7 linked regions of the Macaca fascicularis genome follow. The protein of the gene in region 6 purifies or fractionates together with the protein of the main gene of each other region. This does not show direct contact. Links are inferred from orthologs where the notes say so. Each region holds a gene or a part of one and is shown on either strand. Other genes may lie near its edges. The genes, in order: YWHAE, CTNNB1, NUP88, NUP62, RCC1, XPO1 and NMD3.

Evidence for each region.
Region 1: the proteins of XPO1 (region 6) and YWHAE fractionate together in Homo sapiens (co-fractionation; 3 studies listed by BioGRID, with this or other methods). This does not show direct contact. The link is inferred for Macaca fascicularis from reciprocal best matches to the Homo sapiens genes XPO1 and YWHAE.
Region 2: the proteins of XPO1 (region 6) and CTNNB1 purify together in Homo sapiens (affinity purification with mass spectrometry; 3 studies listed by BioGRID, with this or other methods). This does not show direct contact. The link is inferred for Macaca fascicularis from reciprocal best matches to the Homo sapiens genes XPO1 and CTNNB1.
Region 3: the proteins of XPO1 (region 6) and NUP88 purify together in Homo sapiens (affinity purification with mass spectrometry; 3 studies listed by BioGRID and IntAct, with this or other methods). This does not show direct contact. The link is inferred for Macaca fascicularis from reciprocal best matches to the Homo sapiens genes XPO1 and NUP88.
Region 4: the proteins of XPO1 (region 6) and NUP62 purify together in Homo sapiens (affinity purification with western blotting; 4 studies listed by BioGRID and IntAct, with this or other methods). This does not show direct contact. The link is inferred for Macaca fascicularis from reciprocal best matches to the Homo sapiens genes XPO1 and NUP62.
Region 5: the proteins of XPO1 (region 6) and RCC1 purify together in Homo sapiens (affinity purification with mass spectrometry; 3 studies listed by BioGRID and IntAct, with this or other methods). This does not show direct contact. The link is inferred for Macaca fascicularis from reciprocal best matches to the Homo sapiens genes XPO1 and RCC1.
Region 7: the proteins of XPO1 (region 6) and NMD3 purify together in Homo sapiens (affinity purification with western blotting; 3 studies listed by BioGRID and IntAct, with this or other methods). This does not show direct contact. The link is inferred for Macaca fascicularis from reciprocal best matches to the Homo sapiens genes XPO1 and NMD3.

The regions. Positions count from the first base shown.
Region 1 is NC_088390.1:1,505,493-1,509,481, forward strand, and holds the start of YWHAE (14-3-3 protein epsilon), read right to left. Parts: upstream 2,801-3,989; 5' UTR 2,689-2,800; coding exon 2,625-2,688; intron 1-2,624. UniProt on the Homo sapiens protein: Adapter protein implicated in the regulation of a large spectrum of both general and specialized signaling pathways. Binds to a large number of partners, usually by recognition of a phosphoserine or phosphothreonine motif.
Region 2 is NC_088376.1:104,069,814-104,073,313, reverse strand, and holds part of CTNNB1 (catenin beta-1), read right to left. Parts: intron 3,234-3,500; 5' UTR 3,186-3,233; coding exon 3,173-3,185; intron 3,066-3,172; exon of another isoform or gene 2,934-3,065; intron 2,727-2,933; coding exon 2,499-2,726; intron 2,303-2,498; coding exon 2,049-2,302; intron 1,924-2,048; coding exon 1,685-1,923; intron 1,597-1,684; coding exon 1,395-1,596; intron 48-1,394; coding exon 1-47. UniProt on the Homo sapiens protein: Key downstream component of the canonical Wnt signaling pathway.
Region 3 is NC_088390.1:5,477,772-5,481,271, forward strand, and holds part of NUP88 (nuclear pore complex protein Nup88), read right to left. Parts: intron 1,862-3,500; coding exon 1,692-1,861; intron 1-1,691. UniProt on the Homo sapiens protein: Component of nuclear pore complex.
Region 4 is NC_088393.1:57,890,287-57,893,341, forward strand, and holds the end of NUP62 (nuclear pore glycoprotein p62), read right to left. Parts: coding exon 1,853-3,055; 3' UTR 501-1,852; downstream 1-500. UniProt on the Homo sapiens protein: Essential component of the nuclear pore complex. The N-terminal is probably involved in nucleocytoplasmic transport.
Region 5 is NC_088375.1:206,513,537-206,517,757, reverse strand, and holds the start of RCC1 (regulator of chromosome condensation), read left to right. Parts: upstream 1-1,421; 5' UTR 1,422-1,480; intron 1,481-4,221. UniProt on the Homo sapiens protein: Guanine-nucleotide releasing factor that promotes the exchange of Ran-bound GDP by GTP, and thereby plays an important role in RAN-mediated functions in nuclear import and mitosis.
Region 6 is NC_088387.1:60,431,905-60,435,404, forward strand, and holds part of XPO1 (exportin-1), read left to right. Parts: intron 1-68; coding exon 69-207; intron 208-370; coding exon 371-552; intron 553-637; coding exon 638-794; intron 795-868; coding exon 869-1,032; intron 1,033-2,216; coding exon 2,217-2,351; intron 2,352-3,500. UniProt on the Homo sapiens protein: Mediates the nuclear export of cellular proteins (cargos) bearing a leucine-rich nuclear export signal (NES) and of RNAs.
Region 7 is NC_088376.1:64,190,379-64,193,878, forward strand, and holds part of NMD3 (60S ribosomal export protein NMD3), read left to right. Parts: intron 1-908; coding exon 909-1,043; intron 1,044-3,196; coding exon 3,197-3,293; intron 3,294-3,500. UniProt on the Homo sapiens protein: Acts as an adapter for the XPO1/CRM1-mediated export of the 60S ribosomal subunit.

The sequences.
Region 1 (3,989 bases), on a different chromosome or scaffold from region 6:
ATACAGCTTAGCTCTTCCTCCCGTACCATTAAATAATCCATATAAATTGATTCCAACGCCCCAGGATAGAATTAAATGAGGGTACATGTAAGTTTAGGCATTAATTCAACACAGCAAGCAAAATAAAATAGGCCTACTGCAGTTAACAGAAAGATAAAAGAGCAGCTGGAAAACCAGCATTTGGGTACAAGTATCCAACAAAGAAATCCTGCTAATATACTGTCTTACCTTCTTCCACCACCGACACCTGCTAAATTCTGTTTGGTGACCAGGACTCCGGCAACACTTCGTCCCAGAAACAAAAAAATATTGCACTCAATAAAGGAATGGACACAGGCAGAGGACACAGGTAGAAATTCCTGGTGTCTGTCTCCTTCTCCTCCTCTCCTTTCTACTGAATCCCTACCATATGCCCCAAGTCACAGGAATAGCTCCTCACCTTGCAGATTCTATTTCCTTACCCCTTTAGATCCTGAAGGGGACACCTAACATTAACAACTGTAAGGATGTGGCTTTATCAGAGTCCTATGTTCAATAACCAGTAAGGGCTCTGGTCAGAAATCTTCACCACTCACATCAAAAATATAATTATCACTAACCTGTCATTTAATTGGAAACTACAATCATAAGCTTTCAAATCGGTTTTTTAAAGGAGCTTTCAAAAAAAAGACCTTCTCTCACATCCTTTCTAGTTATCACAGCAAGTTTACTCAGAGCTCCAATGCCCACAAAACAGAAAGCATTCAAGTATAATTTGTTTCCTCCCAAGAACACTAATAGATGAAGAGGGGAACATCTGGAGATGAGGAGCGGAGGAGGAGACTTCCAATACAAGCACATCTTTATCTGTTTGATTTTTAAACACTGAAATAAAGACAAAGCTGACCTTGAGCTGCACTTCCCCACCTAATTCCCCTCCCTCTCCCAACAGGAATCTTGTTCAATACAAATAGCAATTTAACAATTTACAAGACGAAATTTAGTTTAGTATTATTCCAAATTTGACTTCTAGAGGCCTTGTCTTATTTTCAAATCCCTGAATCCTCGTTTCTGATAAGGGGGAGTAGCCCTGAGGTTATTCACATGACTAAATCTGCATTTCCAGGAAAGCAACGGCCCTACACAACATTTTGAAATACAGGTAGCTTAATCAGGAAAAATCTAAGGATCAAAGATACTTGATTCCAACCATGTCTCATCCCACCCTACCACACAAAAGCATTAAAACCACAGGACCCACATACATGACTTTTCCTTTAATACTACAGTATCGCACAATTATAAATGTGAGGGTATTTCAAAAGGTGGACTGGGAGGGAGGACTAAGAATAAACTTCCTGACAATGACTAGACAGACACAATGGATATTTCGATAAAGTTATGAAAAAGGACTGGAGAACCCGTTATGGGCAAAGGAACAACGAACAAAGAGGAACTACTAAAATTTCTACATAAACCCATTTATTTGAAATGGAAAAAAAGAAAGCAACAGGATCTCCAACCTTCATAACTCAAAAACCCCAGCCTCAGCCGAGTGCCTGGAATAGGTTAAGCTCCCCCACGAAGTACAGACCAGCATCCCGAGCCTGCAGAGTCAACCAAAATACAGTGACTGAACACTATTGGAAATAACTTTATTTCAACAGGTCTTTCCATGTGTCATGATGGTGCGCACAAACTGTAAAGTCATCGTTTTTACAAACGGGTGGACTGAGGCTCGGGCCCTACAAAGGCTCGAACTCTCAGAGTCGTGGCCTCCTGGTCTCCTGCTTCTATCCATCAGAACCCACTGGTGATGCAGTCAGAGAAAGGTTACAGGAACTTCGAGGTCTCCCGTTTTAAGTCTGAGGAAAGGGGAGGGAGTGAGGGTTTTCTGGGCCTCCCCAGCAGGCGGCGAGGAGGAAAAGCCCCAAACCCCCTCACTACGAGGTGCCGGCCCACGGGAGAGAAACCCGATCGCAGCGTCGGCGCCTGCCACCGCCCCAGACGAACCGCAGTGATTCCCGCTCACCCCTCTCCCCCCACCATCACCCGGGACTGTCCCCCGCCTCAGGCCTGAGGAAGCCCATCGCTCTGAAGGCTTCTCCTTTGTGAGACTCCACGGCCGCCGCCCCACACGGGGCCTCCGGGGAAAAGCCACCGCCCCCACCCGCCATATTTCCCTGAAAGGCGCCCGCGCTACAGCTCCCGGTCTCCGCTCTCTCCCATGTGGCGGGTGCTGCTTCCCCCGTCACCGCACCCAATTGTTCTCCACATCCCAAGACCGTCCCAGAAGCTCCCCTGAGGGCTGCTCGTTCGGAGACAGCACCCGCCATCTCCTCCCCCTCCCCCGCCCCGAGACTCGCCCTCCCCCCAGCCGCCATTTTACAACCAACTCCTCCACCCCGTCTCCCCGGCCTCCCGGCCCGCGAGTTGTTTGCAGTTAAGGACGGCGAAGGGGTCACATTCCAAGGCATACAGCCTCCCATTGCCCCGGGAGCTCCCAGGCCATTTCCTGCTTCCCGAACCCAAGCCCCCGGGCCAGGCTCGCAGACGATGCCGCCATTTTGTCTCCTGTTCCCGGCCTCTGTGGGCGGCGGCAGAGGGAACGAGAATTCCAGCCCCCCGCTGCCCCCCCAACTCACCGTCGTATCGCTCAGCCTGCTCGGCCAGCTTCGCCTGGTACACCAGATCCTCTCGATCATCCATAGCGGCAGCGGCTCCGGCAGGGTCTGCGCGACGGATGGAAGCGGATAGTGTCTCCGACTCTCTCAGCCTCTCGCTCCGCGTCCGGGCAGCAAAAATGGCGGCGCCTCAATCCGGGACTTCCGCCTGCGCACGCGGACAACTGCTCAGCTCTATGGCAACCGCTCCCTGGCAACTGGCGCGGGGGGCGGGTCCTGGAACTCGGCGCCCGAAGAGGCTGGAACCAGCGCAGGAGACGCCCCTCCTCCGTCGGCTCAGCGGGCGCCGGAGCCCAGAGGCGGGAACTGCGACTGCTGAGAGGGAGCGGCCCCCGGGGAACGGGAAGGGCTGAGGCGGGGCCGGCCGGGACTGCTCCTGAAAAAAGCCGGCGGGAAACCTGGGCCCGAGGCCCGACCTGCGGAAGAGAACGACTGAGGCGCTAACGGTTTCTGTCATGGCAGGTCTTCCTCCCCGAAAGCAGCGGCTGTCACTACCGTGTCCTGGTTTCCTTTTGTGTTTTTGTTTTTTTTTTGAGACGGAGTTTCGCTCTTGTTCCCCAGGCTGGAGTGCAGTGGTGCGATCTCGGCTCAACACAACGTCTGCCTCCCGGGTTCAAGTGATTCTCCTGCCTCAGCCTCCCGAGTAGCTGGGATTTCAGGCGCCCGCCACCAAGCCCAGCTACCTTTTGTATGTTTAATAGAGACGGGGTTTCACCATGTTGGTCAGGCTGGTCTCGAACTCCCGACTTCAAGGTGATCCGCCCACCTCGGCCTCCCAAAGCGCTGGGATTACAGGAGTGAGCCACCGCGCCCGGCCCGCGTCCTGGGTTTCTCCGCCACTCCTGGTCATGGGCCCATTTCAGACACTTTTACACTCAGGGTAACGAACTGGGCCCTGGCCGGGCGCAGTGGCTCACACCTGTAACCCCAGCACCTTGGGAGGCCAAGGCGGGCGGATCACAAGGTCAGGAGTTCGAGACCAGCCTGGCCAACATAGTGAAACCCCGTCTCTACTAAAAATACAAAAAATTAGCTGGGCGTGGTGGTACATGGCTGTAATCCCAGCTACTCAGGAGGCTAAGTCAGGAGAATCTCTTGAACCCGGGAGGCAGAGGTTACAGTGAGCTGAGATCCCCCCATTGCACTCCAGCCCAGGCGACAGTGCGAGACTGTCTCAAAAGAAAAAAATATATATATATATACACAAAAATTCGCTGGGTGTGGTGGTGCACGCCTGTAATCCCAGCTGCTTGGGAGGCTGAGGCAGGAGAATCTCTTGAACCAGGGAGTCGGAGGGTGCAGTGAACCAAGATCACACCATTGCAC
Region 2 (3,500 bases), on a different chromosome or scaffold from region 6:
ATTATATTTACTAAAGCTTGGGGTCCACCACTAGCCAGTATGATCAGCTAGAAAGATATATACATATCTTGTTAGTCATGGAATCTTGATCACATGTCTGAGAAGAGCCATATTACCAACATATTTTATTATACAAGAATTTCAGCCAGCTTGTCATTGGACCTAAATGTATCCCTGGACCCCATCACTCTGACCCCCATACTGGGGCCCTATCCAACTTGTCCTTTTAAAGCATTCCACTCAAATTCAGACATCCCAGTCCTCCCAAGAATGTATCAGTTTTGGCCCAATTTCCTTCTTCCCATACTGATCATAGCAGAAGAAAAAAATTTAGAAACCATGTTGGCAGGCAAGATTAATGCCCTAAGATGAAAGTTATATCAAAACTGATTCACTGAAAATTTGAACCAGAACTGGCACTTAAAACTCCTTATCACTTGGCCCTTTAATTTTCCTAATTATATCCACCTTAAAAAGAGATACCATAAAATGATCATTCACTCTTGTCCTTTCATCCCCTGTGTATCTTCCCTTTCAACACTGCCCCAATTTTCTAAAAACAAATTTCATCATTTCATGCTTCTGCTGAAATTTCCCATTGTGCTTTTAAACATGCTGTACAAAGCCCTATGAGATCTGCTGAGTCTATCTCAATAGCCTCACCTCAAACCTTTCTTCCTCTTTACTGTTAGTATTTCTTAAATTCCCAAAACTTTCCATCTCCTTCCTTCGTTTCAAAGATGCTGTTTCTCACCTAACCTTCACCTAGTGAATCCCTTCTCATCCTTGAACACTGAACTCAACTATCACTTCCTCCAAGAGGTACCTCCTTGAACCCTCATAAAGAGTCTGTTTCACTTGTGTAATGTGCTCTCATAGCCCCCACTTCTTCCCACTACATGAATTAAATATTAGGTTATTATTCCCAACATCTACATCCCACCTAATTACAAAAGTGTGAAGAGAAGCTTGCCTATGATATCCCTATTACTTTGCATAGTGCTTTACATATGGAAACTCAAAAATTTAAAAGAACAGAAATGAACTGGGCTGCACAGCAGGAGGTAAGTGGCAGGTGAGCGAGCATTACCTGGCTTGAGCTCTACCTCCTGTCAGATCAACTGCAGCATGAGAACCTCATAGGAGCGGAAACCCTAGTGTGGACTGCACATGCGAGGGATCTAGGCTGCACGCTCCCTATGAGAATCTAATGCCTGACTATCTGAGGTGGAACAGTGTCATCCAGAAACCATTCCCACAACCCATTCATGGAAAAACTGTTTTCCACGAAACTGATCCCTGGTGCCAAAAAGGTTAGGAACACTGCATGGAATGACATGACACTGGAAGTGTCCGATGCTCCATGAAAACCACATAAAGAAGAATTCTCTTACCTTGCTTTCTTGGTTGCCATATGCTAAAATTTGAAGGCAGTCTGTCGTAATAGCCAAGAATTTAACGTTTGTTTTGTTGAGCAAGGCAACCATTTTCTGTAGCCCGCCAGCTAAACGCACTGCCATTTTAGCTCCTTCTTGATGTAATAAAAGGTTGTGGAGAGTTGTAATGGCATAAAACAACACAGAATCCACTGGTGAACTGGGAAGAAGAAAAAAGCCTCATCAGAACTATTGTGACTATACTCTTCTACTTTTTAGCTTCAAGCATTCTGACAATGTTTTCTTACCCAAGCATTTTCACCAGGGCAGGAATGCCTCCAGACTTAAAGATGGCCAACAAGCCCTCCCGATGATGGGAAAGGTTATGCAAGGTCCCAGCGGTACAACGAGCTGTTTCTACATCATTTGTATTCTGCATGGTACGTACAATAGCAGACACCATCTGAGGAGAACGCATGATAGCGTGTCTGGAAGCTTCCTTTTTAGAAAGCTGATGGACCATAACTGCAGCCTTATTAACCACCACCTATAATACAAGAATCAGAAACATCATTAGTTTTCAAGTCCTGGTAGTGGGTAGACATTCTGAACCTACTCCCCTTGAGCATTTACTTCAAAGCAGACTAAAAAGCTAGCCATGTCATTGCTCACCTGGTCCTCATCATTTAGCAGTTTTGTCAGTTCAGGGATTGCACGTGTGGCAAGTTCTGCATCATCTTGATAGTTAATCAAGTTTACAACTGCATGTTTCAGCATCTGTGATGGTTCAGCCAAACGCTGGACATTAGTGGGATGAGCAGCATCAAACTGTGTAGATGGGATCTGCATGCCCTCATCTAATGTCTCAGGGAACATAGCAGCTCGTACCCTCTGAGCTCGAGTCATTGCATACTGTCCATCAATATCTGGAAAAGGTTAATCAACACTCACTATCCACAGTTCAGCATTTACCTAAGTATTTGCTATCCTAAATGGTAAAAGTGGCATTGCTATTACTCCCTTTTCTTCACCACAACATTTTATTTCAACTATTATATACTAACTTTTTAGTTCTCAAAACTGCATTCTGACTTTCAGTAAGGCAATGAAAAATACTCTTACCAGCTACTTGTTCTTGAGTGAAGGACTGAGAAAATCCCTGTTCCCACTCATACAGGACTTGGGAGGTATCCACATCCTCTTCCTCAGGATTGCCTTTACCACTCAGAGAAGGAGCTGTGGTAGTGGCACCAGAATGGATTCCAGAGTCCAGGTAAGACTGTTGCTGCCAGTGACTAACAGCCGCTTTTCTGTCTGGTTCCATGGCCATGTCCAACTCCATCAAATCAGCTATAAATATGAAATAGTATTAGCATTAGTAGATTGGAAATGTTACTTTAATTAAAAAAAAAAAAAGAATCTGTGATATGACCCATTGAAATATTTTTAGAAATAAAGTCAAATCTGAAAGACAGCCAAGAAAAGCAGAATGATAGCCAGGGTTAGCTCAGTGATGAAATACCTAATCCCTTAGGGGACCACCTAACAGTTACTCACTGAATCAGTGGAAGAATGGTACTGCATCCAGGCTCCAGAAGCAGTCATCCAGACTAGATTCCTGCTGGTGGCTTGTTTGCTATTTCACCAAGCCATTAGGAGGAGTGAGCAGAAAATGGAGCAAAAGGTAGCCTGACAAGTAAGCAGGGAGAGAGGAAAGCAGGGGAATCTCAGCCAGACTGGCTTAATGGCAACGAAGCAGAGCCCCAATTCAGTAACTAAAGATTTATGACACAAACCTTGAGTAGCCATTGTCCACGCTGGATTTTCAAAACAGTTGTATGGTATACTTCAAATACCCTAAAAAAAGTTAATCAAAAGTCATTAGGATTTAAATTTAGCTTGATTAATACTCCTAAGTCACTGGGATATCTGTTAAATGTCACTATTACACCCACAAAAAAAACCCCATATACTCTTTTACCAGGTTATTTGGTGAAACACAAGACCTCATGGTCTCCTCCAGACACCTCAACCACAGCTCCATCACTGCTGAACTTCAGTGAAAACTCCTCCTTACCAAATACATCTTTTTATTAATAGTAGAAATATAAATTACAGATAATC
Region 3 (3,500 bases), on a different chromosome or scaffold from region 6:
ATTAGGCAAGTGTGGTGGCGCGTGCCTGTATTCCCAGTTACCCATGAAGCTGAGGCAGGAGAATCGCTGGAACCCAGGAGGCGGAGGCCACAGTGAGCTGAGCTCGCGCCACTGCACTCCAGCCTGGGCTGAGGAGGTTGCAGTGAGCTGAGATCATGCAACTGCACTCCAGCTTGGACTACAGAGCGAGACTCTGTCTCAAAATAAATAATTTATTTTAATAATTTAATTAAATTTTATTTATTTATTTATTTGAGATGAAGTCTCGCTCTGTGGCTCAAGCTGGAGTGCAGTGGTGCGATCTTGGCTCACTGCAACCTCCGCCTTCCGGGTTTAAGCAGTACTTGTGCCTTATCCTCTTGAGTAGCTAGGACTACAGGTGTGTGCCATCACACCCAGCTGATTTTTTTTTTAGTAGAGATGAGGTTTCACCATGTTGCCCAGGGTGGTCTCAAACTCCTGAGCTCAGGCAATCCACCCACCTGGGCCTCCCAAAGTGGTGGGATTACAGGCGTGAGCCACTGTGCCTGGCCTCAAATTATATAATATTTCATACATATATATACATTTTAGGATGGTTTGACTTAGGATTGATACATATTTTACACAGTACAAGTGTTTTCAGATATAGTATCTCATTTGATGCTTTTACTAACCCTGTTAGGAAATTACAAGGGCAGATATTATCAATCCTGTTTTTAAAACGAGGAAACAGAGACTTAGGAAATAAACAGTTTAAGGGGACTCAACTTATAAGCTGTGGAGCTAAAAGTAGTTTCTACCTTATACAGATGATCCCCAACTTTACAATGGGTTTACCAGTACATAATCCATCATAAATCGAGGAGCTCCTTATGACTTATGATGGGTTCATAATGTTGAAAAATCCTATGCTGAACCATCCTAAATCAGGGATCATCTGCTGTGCTGTCAGCAATGAATGCATTTTCAACTTACACTGGGTTTATCGGGACATGACCCAATCGTAAGTTGACAAGCATCTGTACTCTTTTGAGTAGATCTTTCAGATTCACTTTTCTGGATTTGTTGAAAAAGAAATTATATAAAAATAGGCCAGGTGCGGTGGCTCACACCTATAACCTCAACACTTTGGGAGGCTGAGGTGGGTGGATCACTTGAGGTCAGGAGTTCAAGACCAGCTTGGCCAACATGGTGAAACCCCATCTCTACTAAAAATACAAAAATTAGCTGGGTGTGGCAGCGCTTGCCTGTAATCCCAGTTACTCGGGAGGCTGATGCACGAGAATTACTTGAATCCAGGAGGCAGAGGTTGCAGTGAGCCGAGATTGTGCCACTGCACTTCAGCCTGAGTGACAGAGCAAGACTCCATCTCAAAAAAAAAAAAAAATATATATATATACACACACACATATATACACACACACATATATACACGCACATATATATATATATATAAAATACTTACTTCTACCTAGTTGAAAGAATGGCCTAGCCTCCAATGAGAGAGCAATGTGGTACTTCAGGCAGAATAAAAGTACAATCAATCACACATATACTATAAACATTGGTAACACAGAAGCCAGTCTGCAGACCACGAGGAGTGCTCTAATGTTTCAAGAGCAGTATACTAAACATGCTTAAGAACCACTGGTCTTGAACAATTTTCTGTATATATAATAAATGATACAGATAAATACCATACAACTTACCTACAATTCACTGTTGATTTTCCACCTTCAAATTCAGAATTCTTCCCCCATCTCTTGGGTAATTCTAATACCATAAGTCCTTTTATTCCTATAAGTGCTACATGATGTTGTGTTGGACTTAACAAGACTTGATAGATTTCAAACAGGGGTGGATTTATGCAAAGCAATCTCTGAAAATTAAAGCAAACCAGTCAATATAGTTAGTTTTAATATAAATATGGATGGCAGTTACTTGAAATCACAGTAATAGTTTAGTTTACAACAATTATAGGATAATAAAACTCTGGGTAAGTGCTCACACTTGTACCATTACCTCATGTTTTTTTGAGATGGAGTCTTGCTCTGTCACCAGGCTGGAGTGCAGTGGTCCACTATTGGCTCACTGCAACCTCCGCCTCCCGGGTTCAAGCGATTCTCCTGCCTTAGCCTCCTGAGTAGCTGGGACTATAGGCGCACATCACCACGCCCAGGGAATTTTTGTATTTTTAGTATAGACGGGGGTTTCACCATGTTGGCCAGGATGGTCTCGATCTCTTGACTCATGATCACCTGCCTTGGCCTCCCAAAGTGCTGGGATTACAGGCGTGAGCCACCGCCCCCGGCCATGAAATTTTTTAAATCATCTAGATTGGAATGTTCCATAAAATGCATCAGATTTCCTTACCTTGATAAATAGAGACTACTACACGTAATGTTCCTTCTTATAATCAAGCTCCACCCTACTACTCCAGGTCTCAACTCTCCACCACTCTTCTGCTTGTACCTCACACTCCAAACAGATTAATTGGTATTTCTGTATTTCTGGGAGATCATCATGCTCTGCCATGCCTTTGTGTCTTTGTACAATTGTTTCTCTTCTTGCAATGCTTTTGATTTTTTTCTTTTTTAGCTAACAAGACTTACACATTCTTGGGAGATTCAGCTTCTATGCACTTTCTTCCCCAGAAAACATCCCTGATCTTCTGGCCAGGAATAAGTGCATATTTTCTGTTGTTTTTTTTTTTTTTTTTTCCTGAGAGAGTCACGCTCTGTCGCCCAGGCTGAAGTGCAGTGGTACGATTTCGACTTACTGTAACCTCTGCCTCCTGATTTTTAGTAGAGATGGGCCTCCTGGCCTCAACTGATCTGCCCACCTCAGTCTCCCAAAGCGCTGGGATTAAAGGCGTGAACCACTGCGCCTGGCCATCTTTTCTGTACATCAATGATATGCTCTGGATAATTCTATCATACTTATTATCATCCAACATTCTAATTGTCCTTTTTACTTGCTCATCCCACACAACTATGAATTACCTGAGATCTACATCTTTCCTCTCTGTATTCTTAGCATTCTGGCATACTGCTGACTCTCAACAGACGCTTAGTAGATAGACATAAACTCAGAATTAATAAGCAATGATAATTATTATATAATAGTAAAGAATGGCTTGAAGGCCAAGTACAGCGTCTCACACCTGTAATCCCAGTACTTTGGGAGGCTGAGGAAAGTTTGAGACCAGCCTGGGCAATACAGTGAGACCTCGTTTCTACAAAAACTGGGGGGAAAAAAAGGGTGGCTTTAAGAGCTTCTGTAGCAAGCAGAATGCTGCTTTACCCATGAAGGCTTAATAACAGTGATCTTTTCATGAGATTCTGGTATGTTGTGTCAGCACCACATGTCCTCAAAATTCTCTTCTTCTCTTGGTTCTATTTGTTCTCCCATGACCATCTGTTTCTTTTCTTTCTACTTTCAGGAATATGTTATGAGACTGCCAAGGTATTGTTTATCTTTATGTATGAAGAATCACCCTAAGCCAAAATGCTTTTAGA
Region 4 (3,055 bases), on a different chromosome or scaffold from region 6:
CTTAAATGATCCTCCCACCTCAGCCTCCCAGGCAGCTGAGACACAGGTGCGTGCCAGCATGCACAACCAACTTTTTTGTAGTTGGTAGAGATGGGTTTCACCATGTTGCCCAGGCTGGTCTTGAATCCCTGACCTCAAGTGTTCACCTATCTCGGCCTCCCAAAGTACTGGGATTACAGGTGTGAGCCACCTCGCCCAGCCATATTTGTGTATATTCTATGACATAACAGTCACAAACACCAAGGGCCCACTCCCCGTGGTGGCTTCACTCGCGTGTTCCTCTTCTACCACCAGGCACCACCCCTTCCCGGAGCAAACCACAATTTGCATTTTCTATTACTCCGTCTCATCAAACAAAAGCTGCTTCATCACATGCTCCTGTGTCTATGCAAGCACTGCTTGCCCCTGCGTTTCACGTGAATGACACCCCTGCAGAGTCTCCTGAAAGCTGCTCTTTTTACTCAAGTTTCTCCTCCTAACATTTATCCATATTAGCAGCCTTTTTGGTTTCACAATACATTTATTTAGAAAAGCAACATACAGTAATAGGTATTTCAGAGAATGCAGCAAAGGATAAAGACAAATACAAAAGACACTTGGGATACAACTGCTGGCTTCTGCCTTCCACACACAGTGGATTTTACTGTAACTGACTAGAGTCACTCTGGTGCCAGGAAGTTCAGAGCCATGTCCGTGGCCACCACTGGCAGCTGTGGCTATTTCTGTGGACTGTTGTTATGCCGGGCTTCATTGTTCTTTCATTTAATAAATGTCCCAGTCACATTTGTTGGACTGGGCTGGGGACATACAGGGGAACAACAGTGGGTCTCTGCCCGTGGGAGCTCACAATCTAACCGCGAGACGGACGCAAACGGCTAGCACAGGACAGCATAGCAAGTGTTACCCAAGGTACAGGCTCAGGGTGCTACGGGGACCTGCAAGAAGGCCACCTGAGCTTTGGGTAGCTGGGAAGGCTTCCTGGAGGAGGTGAGGCCCAGAGGTGGGGGTAAGCCTGGGCCAGGCAAAAGGCAGGCCTCTGTGTGTAGGCCCCTCAGCTGACCTGTCTTCTGTGCAATTCTCGATCCCACTGTTTGTTCTATTCACACTGTGCTGCTTTGTCTTGGTGGTTAGCTTTCACAGGCACACACCTCCTACTCCAAAACTTAGGCTGCTGTCTCCTGGGACGCTTTTTTTTTTTTTTTTTGAGACAGTCTCTGTTGCCAGGCTGGAGTGCAGTGGTGTGATCCTGGCTCACTGCAACACCTCCCAGGTTCAAGTGATTCTCCTGCCTCAGCCTCCCGAGTAGCTGAGATCACAGGCACCCACCACACCTGGCTAATTTTTGTATTTTTAGTAGACACGGGTTTCACCATGTTGGTCAGGCTGGTCTTGAACTCCTGACCTCAAGTGATCGGCCTGCCTCAGCCACCCAAATTGCTGAGATTACAGGCGTGAGCCACTGCGCCCTGCAGGCTTTGGAGGTTCTCTTACATTTGGTATTTTTTCATGACACCTATGACTACGCTTTGGAGAGAGCAGCTGTCCCCGCGACCCTGGCTGGGACCAAGACCACCACTGCGTCTCCATCACCAGGTCGAGCCAGGATGAGGTGGGCGGTCGCAGTGGCTGGAAAGGGGCCAAAGACACTCAAATAAAAGCCACAGAAGCCACACCCATGAGGCTGCTGCCTGGGCAGAGGGCTCAGAATACTTCCTACATGGAAAAAGGCAAAGCACACAGCAATTGTCTCAAAGGCAGTCACGTGAAAGAAAGAAACATGTATCTTGCCACAACCCCAAACTAGACAACAGGGCGCGTTCCCCGCATGGAACTCCCAGGGCCCTGCTGTCGCTCAGTCGAAGGTGATGCGGAAGCTGCGCTCCTGCTCCTTGCGCCGGCCCTCGCACACCTTGGTCACCTCCTCCACCTTCCTCTGCAGCAGGGCCGAGTTCTGGTCGATCCACTGCAGCGAGCCCATGTGCGCGTTGAGGATCTTGCAGATCTGCTGCAGCGGGTCGCTGGTGTCGGCGGGGGCCCCGGACGTATTCAGGTGCTCGATGATGTCCTTGAGGTCCTGAGCCATGCGCTTGAGCTGCGCGTCGATGTTCTCGGCCAGCTTGTAGGTTTTCTCGCGCTCCTCATCCGCGTGCTGCAGGTAGATGGTTCCGCTCTGCTCCTTTACCAACTCCTCCAGCGGGCTCAGCAGGTCTTCCAGCTCCTTCTGCTGGGACAGGATGAAGTCGAGCTCCTGGTCCAGCCTCTTCTGGTCCAGCTTCACCTTCTCCACCTCGCGGTGCAGGCTGGTGATCTTCTCCCCGTTCTCGATCAGCGTGCGGTCCCAGGCGTTGACCTGGGTGGCCTGCTGGAGGAAGTGCCGCTCCTGGTCCTCTAGCTCCAGGCTCCATTTGTTGATCAGGCTCTCCAGCTGCGCGTAGGTCATGGCGGAGCTGGCGGCCGCCCCTGCAGCTGCACCAGGGCCAGGTGGAGCAGTCACAGCGGCTGCCGTATTGCTGGGGATCCCAGCTGGCGCCAGTGGTTTTAAATTCAAGGCAAAGCCGGTGGTGCTGCTGCTGCTGCTGGTGGCCGCGGCGGTGGCAGTGGTGGATGTTGCTGTGGAGGCGCCCGAAGCTGCTCCAGGTGCCTTTAAGCTGAAGCCCTGTGTCCCGGCAGCGGGGGCTCCCGCGGTGGTCGCAGGGGTACAGAGGGAGAGTCCGGTGGTGGCAGACGAGGTTGGAGCGGTTGCTATTGATGCAAAGAGGGTGGGCCCAGTACCGGTGGTGGTGGCTGTGGCTGTGGGAGCAGCTGGCTGCGTGACGCCTGCTGTGGTGGCTGCTGGCGTGGCCGGAGTAAAGGGCAGAGTGGCAGGTGCGGTGGGCTGGGCTGAATTCCCCGCTGAGCCAATGTTGAAACCGGAGGGCTGGGCCATGCTTCCACCAGTGAATGAGAAGCCTCCAGATGTGGTGGCTGGAGCCACAGAGGTGGTGGAGGGGCCAAACACAAAGCCAGTGGGTGCTGTGCCCTGGCTGGAGGTGACAGTGCTCGATATGGCATTAGT
Region 5 (4,221 bases), on a different chromosome or scaffold from region 6:
TTCACAGTACATCATCCAAAAGAGGAGTCCATGATGGAGGCAGAGGTAAACTTGGAGAGGTAAGAAACTCTGAAGACGGGGGAGTCCTTTGTGGCAGGCCCTGCATAGAAGAAATTCAGCCTGGCCAACATGGCGAAACCCTGTCTCTACTAAAAATACAAAAATTAGCCAGGTGTTGTGGCAGTCACCTGTAATCCCAGCTATTCAGGAGGCTGAGGCAGGAGAATCGCTTGAACCCGGCAGGCAGAGGTTGCAGTGAGCCGAGATCACAACACTGCACTCCAGCCTGGCTGACAAGAGCGAGACTTGGTCTAAAAAAAAAAAAAAAAAGTTCAGTTGGTAAGAACTCATCAAAAGTGTCCATCTAGACTTTGGGTGCAGTAGAATGACTCAGAGTCTGAATCAACGTGAAATCAACAAAACATCATTTGCAAGGGTTTCAGGGAACACCTGAAATCCTGAAGAACTGTTTGTATCCATCCTGAAGAATGGGTGTATTAACAAGAGACAGCCTTTCCTTGGTACCTGTTTTCCATCTCCAACCCAACCCCAACTCACACCCTTATCTCCTATTTTATCTGGTCTCTCTCGTTCCTCTTGCTCTTCCCCACTTGGCTCCCGTTTTCCCCAAGTCCATTCTCTATTTTGTTCTATAAGATCTGATCATATCGGGATGCTTTTGTAGCTCATAAGAATGATGACTGGGTGTTCACACGCATGTGAGATGTGCCTCCCTCAAACCTTAAGACATGGGCACATACCCATCTGATGTTAACTCACGGGGCACAAAATCTGATCATGCCATTCCCGTGCCCAAATCCTCATATATCCCCACTGCCTCAGGATACAGGCTGGACCCCTTGGACACACAAGACCCTGCATCCATGATCTGTCACTCCCACAGGCACCCTCTGCTCCCATCTACTTGGCAGTTTCCCACAACCTCCCTGGGTTCTCATGGTTCCCTGTCATTGCAAACGTCGCTTCTCCTAGGATGTCCTGCCCTCCTAGACTTAACTTGGAAAGCCGTTCTTAAGCCCCGCGCTGAGTAAGATGCCCCTGTGGGTATCACGGTCATAGCGCTGTGTGGTTGCTGAGAGTCTGATTTTTCATCCTTCTCCATGCCCTCTTGAGGGTAGGGAAGATATCTTTTTTCTCCGTACAGACCCTACCGCACGAGATTTTCCTAAACAGACCGAATTCAAGGAGTCTTTCTGGTTGTTAGTCCACGTGTCCCGATTTGGGGTTTCCAAAATACACACTCACTGGAACCGGGCCAGGGGAGCCAGCCTGGCCAAGAGCTCCCCCCAGCCCGGGAGCGCGCCACATGCAGATCCTGGGATGGCCGCCAGGGGCCGCCGGGCTCTTTGTTTTCCTTTCTCGCCCGGGTCGGGGCCAGAGGCCTGCAGAGCGCATGCTCTGGGGCAGTACGCGGCCCGGCGGGGAACGCTGGAGTTCCTTGTGGCCGACGTGCACCGAGGTAGGTCTCGCTCAGGGCGCGCGGAGGGTCCGGGCAGAGGGCGGTGCGCGGGGCGGCCACAGCCGGAGCACGGGCCGGTCCACGCGGGCCTAGGTCGCTGTCCGCTTTCGCCCGTGTCGCGCGGCGCTGGCCCCACGTGAAGCCCGGCGGCAGGAAGGCGCGATGCGGGCTCGCGATTCCCCGGCCCCGCGGGGCGCTCCAGCGGCCGCTGGGCCCCGCCTCGCGGGAGCTAGGGCCGCGCTGCCCCTCCGCCGCCGCGCCTCTCACGCCTGCACCGCGGCGCCCGCGCAGGCGGGAGATTCAAACGGCGCGAGCGCGATGGGCCGGGTGCGCGCGGCCGCCCGGGCGGGGGATGGGTCTCTGCCGCGAGGAGAATGGTTTTGTCCAGCATGCGTTTGGAGAAGGCGGTTTGCAGAGCTGACAGGGAGCCCTGCCCGGGAGAGGGTGGATCTTCAGAGCTCGAGGGTGGGTAGTTGGGGGTCTGCTGCGGCGAGAGAAGTCCCAGCGTCGGCAGGCACCCAGGCACCGCTGTGGACCTTTGGGAGCCGTGTGTCTCGAACTCCGCAGCAGCTCAATCTGTCAGCAAATTATTTGCTGGCCATCTATTCCGTGCCGCTCTTGCAGGGCTGGGGGACAGTGGTGAGAAGGGCAGGCCCGTGTCATTAGCGAACTATGCCCTGGAGCCCGGGCGACGAACGCTACTGCCAAGTCTTCATTCATCACATATTGACCTAACTTCGACCACGTGTGACTTGTGTGGCCTAGCAAAAGTTGAGTGTGTGGGGTGTTACGGGAACCCTCAGGGGGACCCCCCGCCCTACCCAGGAGGCTCAGGGATGGCTTTCTAGGTGAAGTGACTCTTGAATGGGGTTTTGAAGGAACAGAGTTTTTCGGGCAGTCTGAGGGTAGTGGGATTAGGGTGATTCAGGCAGAGGGACTGCAGGTGCAAAGGCATGAAAGTATAGATATTGTGGTAAGGGATATCACAGGTCTTGAGGTGACTGGAGGAGGAGAGTAACAAGATGATACAGCAAGGGCTGGGTCATGAAGGGTCTTGGGTGCAAGACTAAGGAACACTGCGGGGTGGAGGAGGCAGGGAAGGATTGCCCCAAGAAGGACATCAGAGTGAAACCTGGACAGATGAATTAGGAGTTCCCGAGGCTCTTGTTTCAAAGACATCCCAAGAGCAGGAATCCTGTTCTGTTCCTCTTTACAACTTTCTCATCAGATGCCCTTGGGCAACCCACCCAGTCCCCCAGAGCATTGGTTTCCTTATCTTTATAGCAATGGTAGGGGGCATGTGGTGAGGATATATATATATTTTTTTTTTGAGACGGAGTTTCCGCAATTATTACCCAGGCTGGAGTGGAGTGGTGCGATCTCGGCTCACTGCAACCTCCGCCTCCCAGGTTCAAGCAATTCTGCCTCAGCCTGCCGAGTAGCTAGCTGAGACTACAGGAACAGCGCCACCAGGCCCCGCTAATTTTTGTATTTTTTTTTTTTTTTTTTTTAGTAGAGACGGTGTTTCACTATGTTGGCCAGGCTGGTCTCGAACTCGTGACCTCAGGTGTCCACCTGCCTCGGCCTCCCAAAGGGCCGGAATTACGGGTGTGAGCCACCGCACCCGGCCAATTTTTTTTTTTTTCCTGATACGAAATCTTGCTCTATCGCCCAGGCTGGAATGCAGTGTCGTGCTCTCGGTCATTGCAGCCACCACCTCCCGGGTTCAAGCAATTCTCCTGTCTCAGCCTCCCAAATAGTAATATCCTATAATTTTCATAAAGCAGTCATTCCAACATCTAGTGGAAGTTGTGGGTCCCTTCCCCCAGGAAAAATGAACACATAGACCCAAGCACAGGTTGTATCCAGTGGGGATCCCAAGTGAGAAACTCCTAGTGTGAAATATACCAGCTCTGTGCCTGGCGTAACAGCAGCTCACCAAATGTATATTGTTGACACACGAGCCCTCTCCTCCCTTCCCTCCTGGGGACCTTTCACACAAAGAGATTTTTCAGCCTGAGTCTGGCAGGCAAGTTCTCCCTCCTGGCGTGGGGGACGGAGGGCACAGCTGCAGTGGTCTGGGAGGGCTCTGTCTCCTTTTACAGAAATTGAGGCTGTGGTGAGGTCACTGGAGGTCAGGGCAGGAGCACCAAACTCCAGGCAGACTGTTTAGACTGGCATGCCTACCCACTTTCTTCAATAAATAAGGAAAGTGAGGTGGGGTAGGGCAGCTCTGGCTCTGGTGGAGCAGGGTCATGAGACTGGGGTTTCATTGCACCTCTGTGGGACCTGGGCCACCTTTCCCTGAGCCTCATCTTCCCCTTGGCTGTAAAACCGGGATGAATCTGCTCACCTCAAAGGGCAGCTGTGGGCATTCTGGAGTGCCTGATGGTGGAAGCTGACTCTGTAGCCAACTTATCTGGGACTGTCTCACTCTTCTCCCAGAGACTGTACGCTCCTTGAAGAAGGAAGCTGTGTTGGGTGGGGCTGGGCAGGGAAGCGTGATGCTAAAAGCCGACTCCTTATTCCCAGCCCAGACACTGCCAGGTTAAGAAAACAGCCACAGGCCGGGCGCAGTGGCTCACGCCTGTAATCCCAGCACTTTGGGAGGCCGAGGCGGGTGGATCATGAGGTCAGGAGATTGAAACCATCCTGGCTAACACGGTGAAACCCCATCTCTACTGAAAAAAAAAAAAAAAATACAAAAAATTAGCCGGCCATGGTGGCAGGCACCTGTAGTC
Region 6 (3,500 bases):
TAAGCTTCTACACTAATGATTTCAGTGATCTAATGATTTTTTCTTGATTGATTTATTGCTGAATATAGGTCCGTTTATTAATGGTTAGTCGAATGGCTAAACCAGAGGAAGTATTGGTTGTAGAGAATGATCAAGGAGAAGTTGTGAGAGAATTCATGAAGGATACAGATTCCATAAATTTGTATAAGAATATGAGGGAAACATTAGGTAAGTTAATAAATACTGTTAATCTTTACCTTTATAAATTTATTCTGGGGTAGAAATATATTTTAGAAAATGTACTGTAGTTTCTAAATATTTTCTAAACATGGTATTCATTGGTAAAACTCTTTGCTCATTATTTGCATTTGAAACAATTTTTTTTTCGTAGTTTATCTTACTCATCTGGATTATGTAGATACAGAAAGAATAATGACAGAGAAGCTTCACAATCAAGTGAATGGTACAGAGTGGTCGTGGAAAAATTTGAATACATTGTGTTGGGCAATAGGCTCCATTAGTGGAGCAATGCATGAAGAGGATGAAAAACGATTTCTTGTTACTGTTATAAAGGTATGCAAGGGATAGGTATGAATTAGAATTGCTAAATAAGTATTATGTTGTTACAATAAATGATATAAATCTGTCTTATTTACAGGATCTATTAGGATTATGTGAACAGAAAAGAGGCAAAGATAATAAAGCTATTATTGCATCAAATATCATGTACATAGTAGGTCAATATCCACGATTTTTGAGAGCTCACTGGAAATTTTTGAAGACTGTAGTTAACAAGCTGTTCGAATTCATGCATGGTAAATCTCTTTCTTTACTATATTTTGTTTTTATTTTTATTGAACAAAATAAATGAATGTTTTTGTCTTGTTAGAGACCCATGATGGAGTCCAGGACATGGCTTGTGATACTTTCATTAAAATAGCCCAAAAATGCCGTAGGCATTTCGTTCAGGTTCAGGTTGGAGAAGTGATGCCATTTATTGATGAAATTTTGAACAACATTAACACTATTATTTGTGATCTTCAGCCTCAACAGGTATGTTAAGCACTGAGCATATGTTATTTTTAGAAAGTAACACCTGTATCAATCTGTATGTATCAGTGGAAATAGGAAGGCAACTGTTGGATCCAATAGAAGTGTTTCTGATTAAACTTTCTTTTTTCCTTGAGAACAGGGTATTACTCTGTTGCCCAGGCTCAAGTGCAATGGCACGATTACGACTCACTGCAGCCTTGAACTCCCAGGCTCAGGTGATCTTCCCACCTCAGCCTCGTGGGTAGCTGGGACTACAGGCGTGCACCGCCTTCACACCCAGCTAGCCTTTTTCTCCCCCCTTGGTAGAGATGGGGTTTTGCCAAGGCTTGTCTTGAACTCCTAGCTTCAAGCGATACGCTAGCCTCAGCCTCCCAAAATTATTTTATATGTGTGAGCCACGATGCCCGGCCTGATTAAATTTTCATAGTGAGACAGATTCTTGTTTTTGTTTTTGGGGGGGTGTGTGTGTGTGTGTGTGTGTGTGTGACGGAGTCTCCCTCTATCATAGAGTCCAGGCTGGAGTGCAGTGGCACAATCTCTGCTCACTGCAGCCTCCTGGGGTTAAGTGATTCTCTTCCTCAGTGGCTGAGATTAACAGGTGCGTGCCACCACGCCCAGTTGACTTTTGCCTTTTTAGTAGAGACGGGGTTTCTCCATGTTGGTCAGGCTGGTCTCAAACTCCTGACCTTGTGATCCGCCCGCCTCGGCCTCCCAAAGTATTGGGATTACAGGCATGAGCCACCACCATGCCTGGTTTGGGTTTTGTTTGTTTGTTTGTTTGTTTGTTTTGTTTTGAGATGGAGTCTACCTCTGTCACCCAGGTTGGAGTGCTGTGGTATAATCTCGGCTCACTGCAACCTCTGCCTCCCAGGTTCAAGCAATTCAAGCCTCCCAAGTAACTGGAATTATAGGCACTTGCCACCATGCCTGGCTAATTTCTTTGTATTTGTAGAAGAGATGGTGTTTCACCACGTTGGTCAGGCTGGTCTGCAACTCCTGAACTCAAGTGATTGGCCTGCCTCAGCTTCTCAAAGTACTGGCATTACAGGAGTGATCCCCACCGCACCTGGGCCAAAATCAGTTTCAAGATATTTGAGTTGCTTGTGTGTGAATTGCTTGTGTGTGGTTTTCCTTATTAGGGTGTATAAGAACATAAAAGTTAAAATGTCTGCTTTTTAAAATAGGTTCATACGTTTTATGAAGCTGTGGGGTACATGATTGGTGCACAAACAGATCAAACAGTACAAGAACACTTGATAGAAAAGTACATGTTACTCCCTAATCAAGTGTGGGATAGTATAATCCAGCAGGCAACCAAAGTAAGTATTCTACTTTTTCTTAAAGTTTTCATGGGATTTAAGAAGACTGTGTTCCTTACAAATATATTGAATTCAAGCCTTTAAACATGTATGTGTGATCCGTAAGTGCTTTTATGTGTGGCTTTGTACATTTTATTATCTGGGCCAGGCGTGGTGGCTCACGCCTGTAATCCTAGCACTTTGGGAGGCTGAGGCGGGCGGATCACCTGAGGCCAGAAGTTCGAGATCAGCCTAGCCAGCATGGCGAAACCCCATCTCTACTAAAAATACAGAAATTAGCTGGGCTTGGTGGCACATGCCTGTAACCCCAGCTACTCAGGAGGCTGAGGCAGGAGAATCACTTGAACCCAAGAGGCAGAGGTTGCAGTGAGCCGAGATCGAGCCTCTGTACTCTAGCCTAGTCGACAGAGCAAGACTCCATCTCAAAAAAAAACCTGAAAATCTGGGCCGGGCGCGGTGGCTCACGCCTGTAATCCCAGCACTTTGGGAGGCCAAGTCAGGCAGATCACAAGGTCAGGAGCTCCAGACCATCCTGGCTAACACAGTGAAACTCCGTCTCTACTAAAAGTACAAAAATTAGCTGGGCGTGGCACCGGGCACCTGTAAGTCCCAGCTGTGCTCAGGAGGCTGAGACAGAATGGCGTGAACCCAGGAGGCAGAGCTTGCAGTGAGCCAAGATCACGCCACTGCACTCCAGCCTGGGCGAATAAACGAGACTCCGTCTCAAAAAATATTTTACTTCATTCTTAGGTAGATATGGACAAAAAGGCTTTTGTGTTCGTTTTTACCATTTGGGATTATAAATATGATTTAGGGTAAGGGAAGTGTAATGGCTTTTGTTTCAGTAATTATGTGGATAATTTTTTTTTTTTTTTTTGAGACGGAGTTTCACTCTTGGTGCCCAGGCTGTAGTGCAATGGCATGATCTCAGCTCGCTGCAGCCTCTGCCTCCCAGGCTCAAGCAATTCTCCTGCCTCAGCCTTCCAAGTAGCTGGGATTACAAACAAGCGCCACCATGCCTGGCTGATTTTGTATTTTTAGTAGAGAGAGGGTTTCTACATGTTGGTCAGGCTGGTCTTGAACTCCCGACCTCAGGGTGATGTGCCTGACTCAGCCTCCCAAAGTGCTGGGATTATAGGTGTGAGCCAC
Region 7 (3,500 bases), on a different chromosome or scaffold from region 6:
ATGGATAGTGTTGGTTGTGGTAAAGAGCACGTTCACGTTTTTTAATTGTATTTAAGTATTTAAAATTAAAATTAGTGCAAGATTTGTATTCATCAATATACCGCCGTTTGTTTTAATGTGGCAATATAGTTTCATTTGCTTTTAATAGAAAAAGACTTGTTTAGACCCATACTGGCTATTTAAATGTAGATCTGAATTTTTAAAAAAAAAGGACATTGAGTTTCTCAGTTGTACTAGTCACTTTTCATGGCCCAGTTTGCCACATGTGGCTAGTGGCTACCTTGTTGTACAGACCAGAATAAAACATTTCTATCATGACATGAAGTTCTGTTGGACAGAACTGACTCTCTAGAAGCTTTAGGACATCGGCCTTGTATTGAGGATTTTTAGAATTATAGCCATTTTTGGTGTTTTTGCCCCTGTATTACAGGGTTATTCTTTATCTACTGCATCTTTGAAGATTGCTTTGTTTCTTTTTTTTAAGACATCGTCTTGGTCTGTCACCCAGGCTGGAGTGCAGTGGCGTGATGTGGCTCACTGCAACTTCTGCCTCCTGGGTTTAAACGATTCTCGTGCCTCAGCCTCACATGTAGCTGGGATTACCAGCATGTGCCGCCATGCCTGACTGATTTTTCTATTTTTAGTAGAGATGGGGTTTCACCATGTTGGCCAGGCTGGTCTCGGACTCATTATCTCAGGTGATCTGCCTGCCTCAGCCTCCCAAAGTGCTGGAATTACAGGCGGGAGCCACTGCGACTGGCCCAGGTTGCCTTGTTTCTGTCATTTTTTTAAAAAGAGCAAAGATACTATGGCCTAACTTGAAGGCTTTTATTTGTTTGGCATCTAAAAAAAAAATTTAGTGTATTTTAAAAATCTAATTTGAAAAATGTATCCTTTATTTATTGAAGCTTGTGCTGTGAGTGTGGTGTTCCGATAAGTCCAAATCCTGCCAATATTTGTGTGGCCTGTTTGCGAAGTAAAGTGGACATCAGCCAAGGTATTCCAAAACAAGTCTCGGTTTCATTCTGCAAACAATGTCAGAGGTACGGTGCAGTACAATTTTGCTCTTTTTAAAGTTGGAATTTACATTTAGAGAACCACTGAGATATGCTGAGATTACACGAAGGTATATGGAGTAAAGTGCATGCAGTTAAAGTTTAAATGTTCTGTTGGTTTCGCCAAAGATTTCAGAATTTGCAATTTTATAGTGTACTTTTCTAGTGTGTCCTTCTAATCTGGTAAAGATAGTGTAAAGGTATTTGACTCTGTCCTTCTGTTAAAGGATCTAATAGATTTGATATATACAATTAATAGGTGGGAGTTGATGTTTGTAAGGGTGAGAGCAGATTATTGAGGACATATTCTTGTTATTATGAGGTTTTTTTCTTTAGTTATTAGAAGCCATGTATGATAAAAAGCACCTTATGTTTGTAGTAATTTAGTAATATGTTTTAAAAACTCTTATAACGTTCACGTGTAATTAAAATAACTATTGTTGATGGAAAAGAAGCTCAGTAAATCATATCTGGAATGGTCTGAAATAAAGATTGTATTTGAAGGCAGAAGACTTCTGAAAGTTAATGTTTCATTCCTCTTGATTTTCTTTGTTGTGATAAATAACTTACATCTATTAGGCCATGGAGAAACATAAAACTGCTTAATGAGTATAAAAGTATATGCCTTTTGGGTTTATTCCAAAATGGGTTAAGACCCTAACTTTTTGAGTGTGTATCTCTAGAGGGGTGGTTCATGGACTCCTTTGAGAATTTGAAAACTGTATCTCTCCCCCCAAATATTTGCACATATATATATATGAACAAACACATGAAGCTTTGTGTACTTTTTTGGGGAGTTTACAATATACAAGCTTAGCACGTGTGAGGGTTAATCTGTTGTAACTATTTGCTATTATAAAGCCTGGTGGAGTTAGAAAAGTACTGATAAAGAACTAAACAGACTTAGTTTGTCTTGGCTTCCTCACAAACTAGCTGTTTGAAACTCTTGGCCGTTTATCATTTCTGGGCCTCAATTTCCTCATCAGAATGAAGGGTTTTATTAGGTGATATGTGAAGCCTTTTCTAACTCTAAAAGTATACTCATAGACCAGGCATGGTGGCTCACGCCTGTAATCCAAACACTTGAGGAGGCTGAGGTGGGTGGATCACTTGAGGTCAGGAGTTTGAGAGCAGACTGGCCAACATGGTGAAACCCTGTCTCTACTAAAATACAAAAATTATCCGGGCATGGTGGGGCATGCATGTAATTCTAGCTACTCAGGAGGCTGAGGTAGGAGTATCACTCGAACCCAAGAGGCAGAGGTTACAGTGAGCCGAGATTGTACACTGCACTCCAACCTGGCCGACGGAGTGAGACTCTGTCTCAAAAAAAAAAAAAAAAAAAAAAAGAAGAAGAAAGAAAAAAAACCCAATAAATAAGTAAATAATTATGTACTTATAAACAAAGGGGGACCTGTGTCATGTTTTTGATTGAACCTTGAAAAGTGAAAATCAAAACTCTCTGTTATTTAACAAGTATGGCAAAAAGGCATTCACATAATACGTTTGGAAGTATTTTATATTTAACAAGCATTTATTGAATACCTACTATAAGATGTGTCTGGCATTGTGCTAAGCCCTGGATAGGCGGGACTAAAAACCTTAAAGCACATGTGTGAGAGATTTAAGTTTTGTTTTAGTCAGGTTTTACCTAAGATTTTAAACATTGTTTTACAATTTGAAATTTGAAAAGGACTTGAAATGTAGATGAATAGACTGAACTATTGCGATTCATAGTGTTGTGAGGTACTAATGTACCTTTTTTTTGTGAAAAATAAGCAGTTCTCAGGCATTTTAGAAGTACATGATAAACAATTTTAATGCCATTTTGAGATAATTCTCACCTGTTTTTCAGAGCATAACTTCAAGAGACTCTGAACATTTTAGTAGTGATTTGGTGATTGAAATAATAAGATCACTTTAGTAGTGGCTTTCTCAGTCAGAATTTTACCTTTTTAGTTAAAGCTACTAGTCTAGTTGAAAGTTTTGGAACCATTAAAGTATTTTGAGTTATGTGCTTCATATCATCCTTGGGTTTTATTATGCCTGGTTAATAATTTGGGTTATATCTGTATATTCAGATGGAAATTTCTGTGTTTCCTGAGAGATGTTGGATTTCAGTATGTTATCTTCTCTTTTAGGTATTTTCAGCCACCAGGAACTTGGATACAGTGTGCTTTAGAATCCAGGGAACTTCTTGCTTTGTGCTTGAAAAAAATCAAAGCCCCTTTGAGTAAGGTAAGTTAAACAGCTAAAATCAGTATTTATAGGTATGTTTTCATTGATGGTCTCATTTTCAGAAAATTCTTGTGAGTAGGTTTTTCAAAAGTAACTTTTTTTTTTTTTTTTGAGATGGAGTCTCACACTGTCGCCTGGGCTGGAGTGCAATGGCGTGATCTCTGCTCACTGCAACCTCTGACTCCCGGGTTCACACGATTCTCCTGC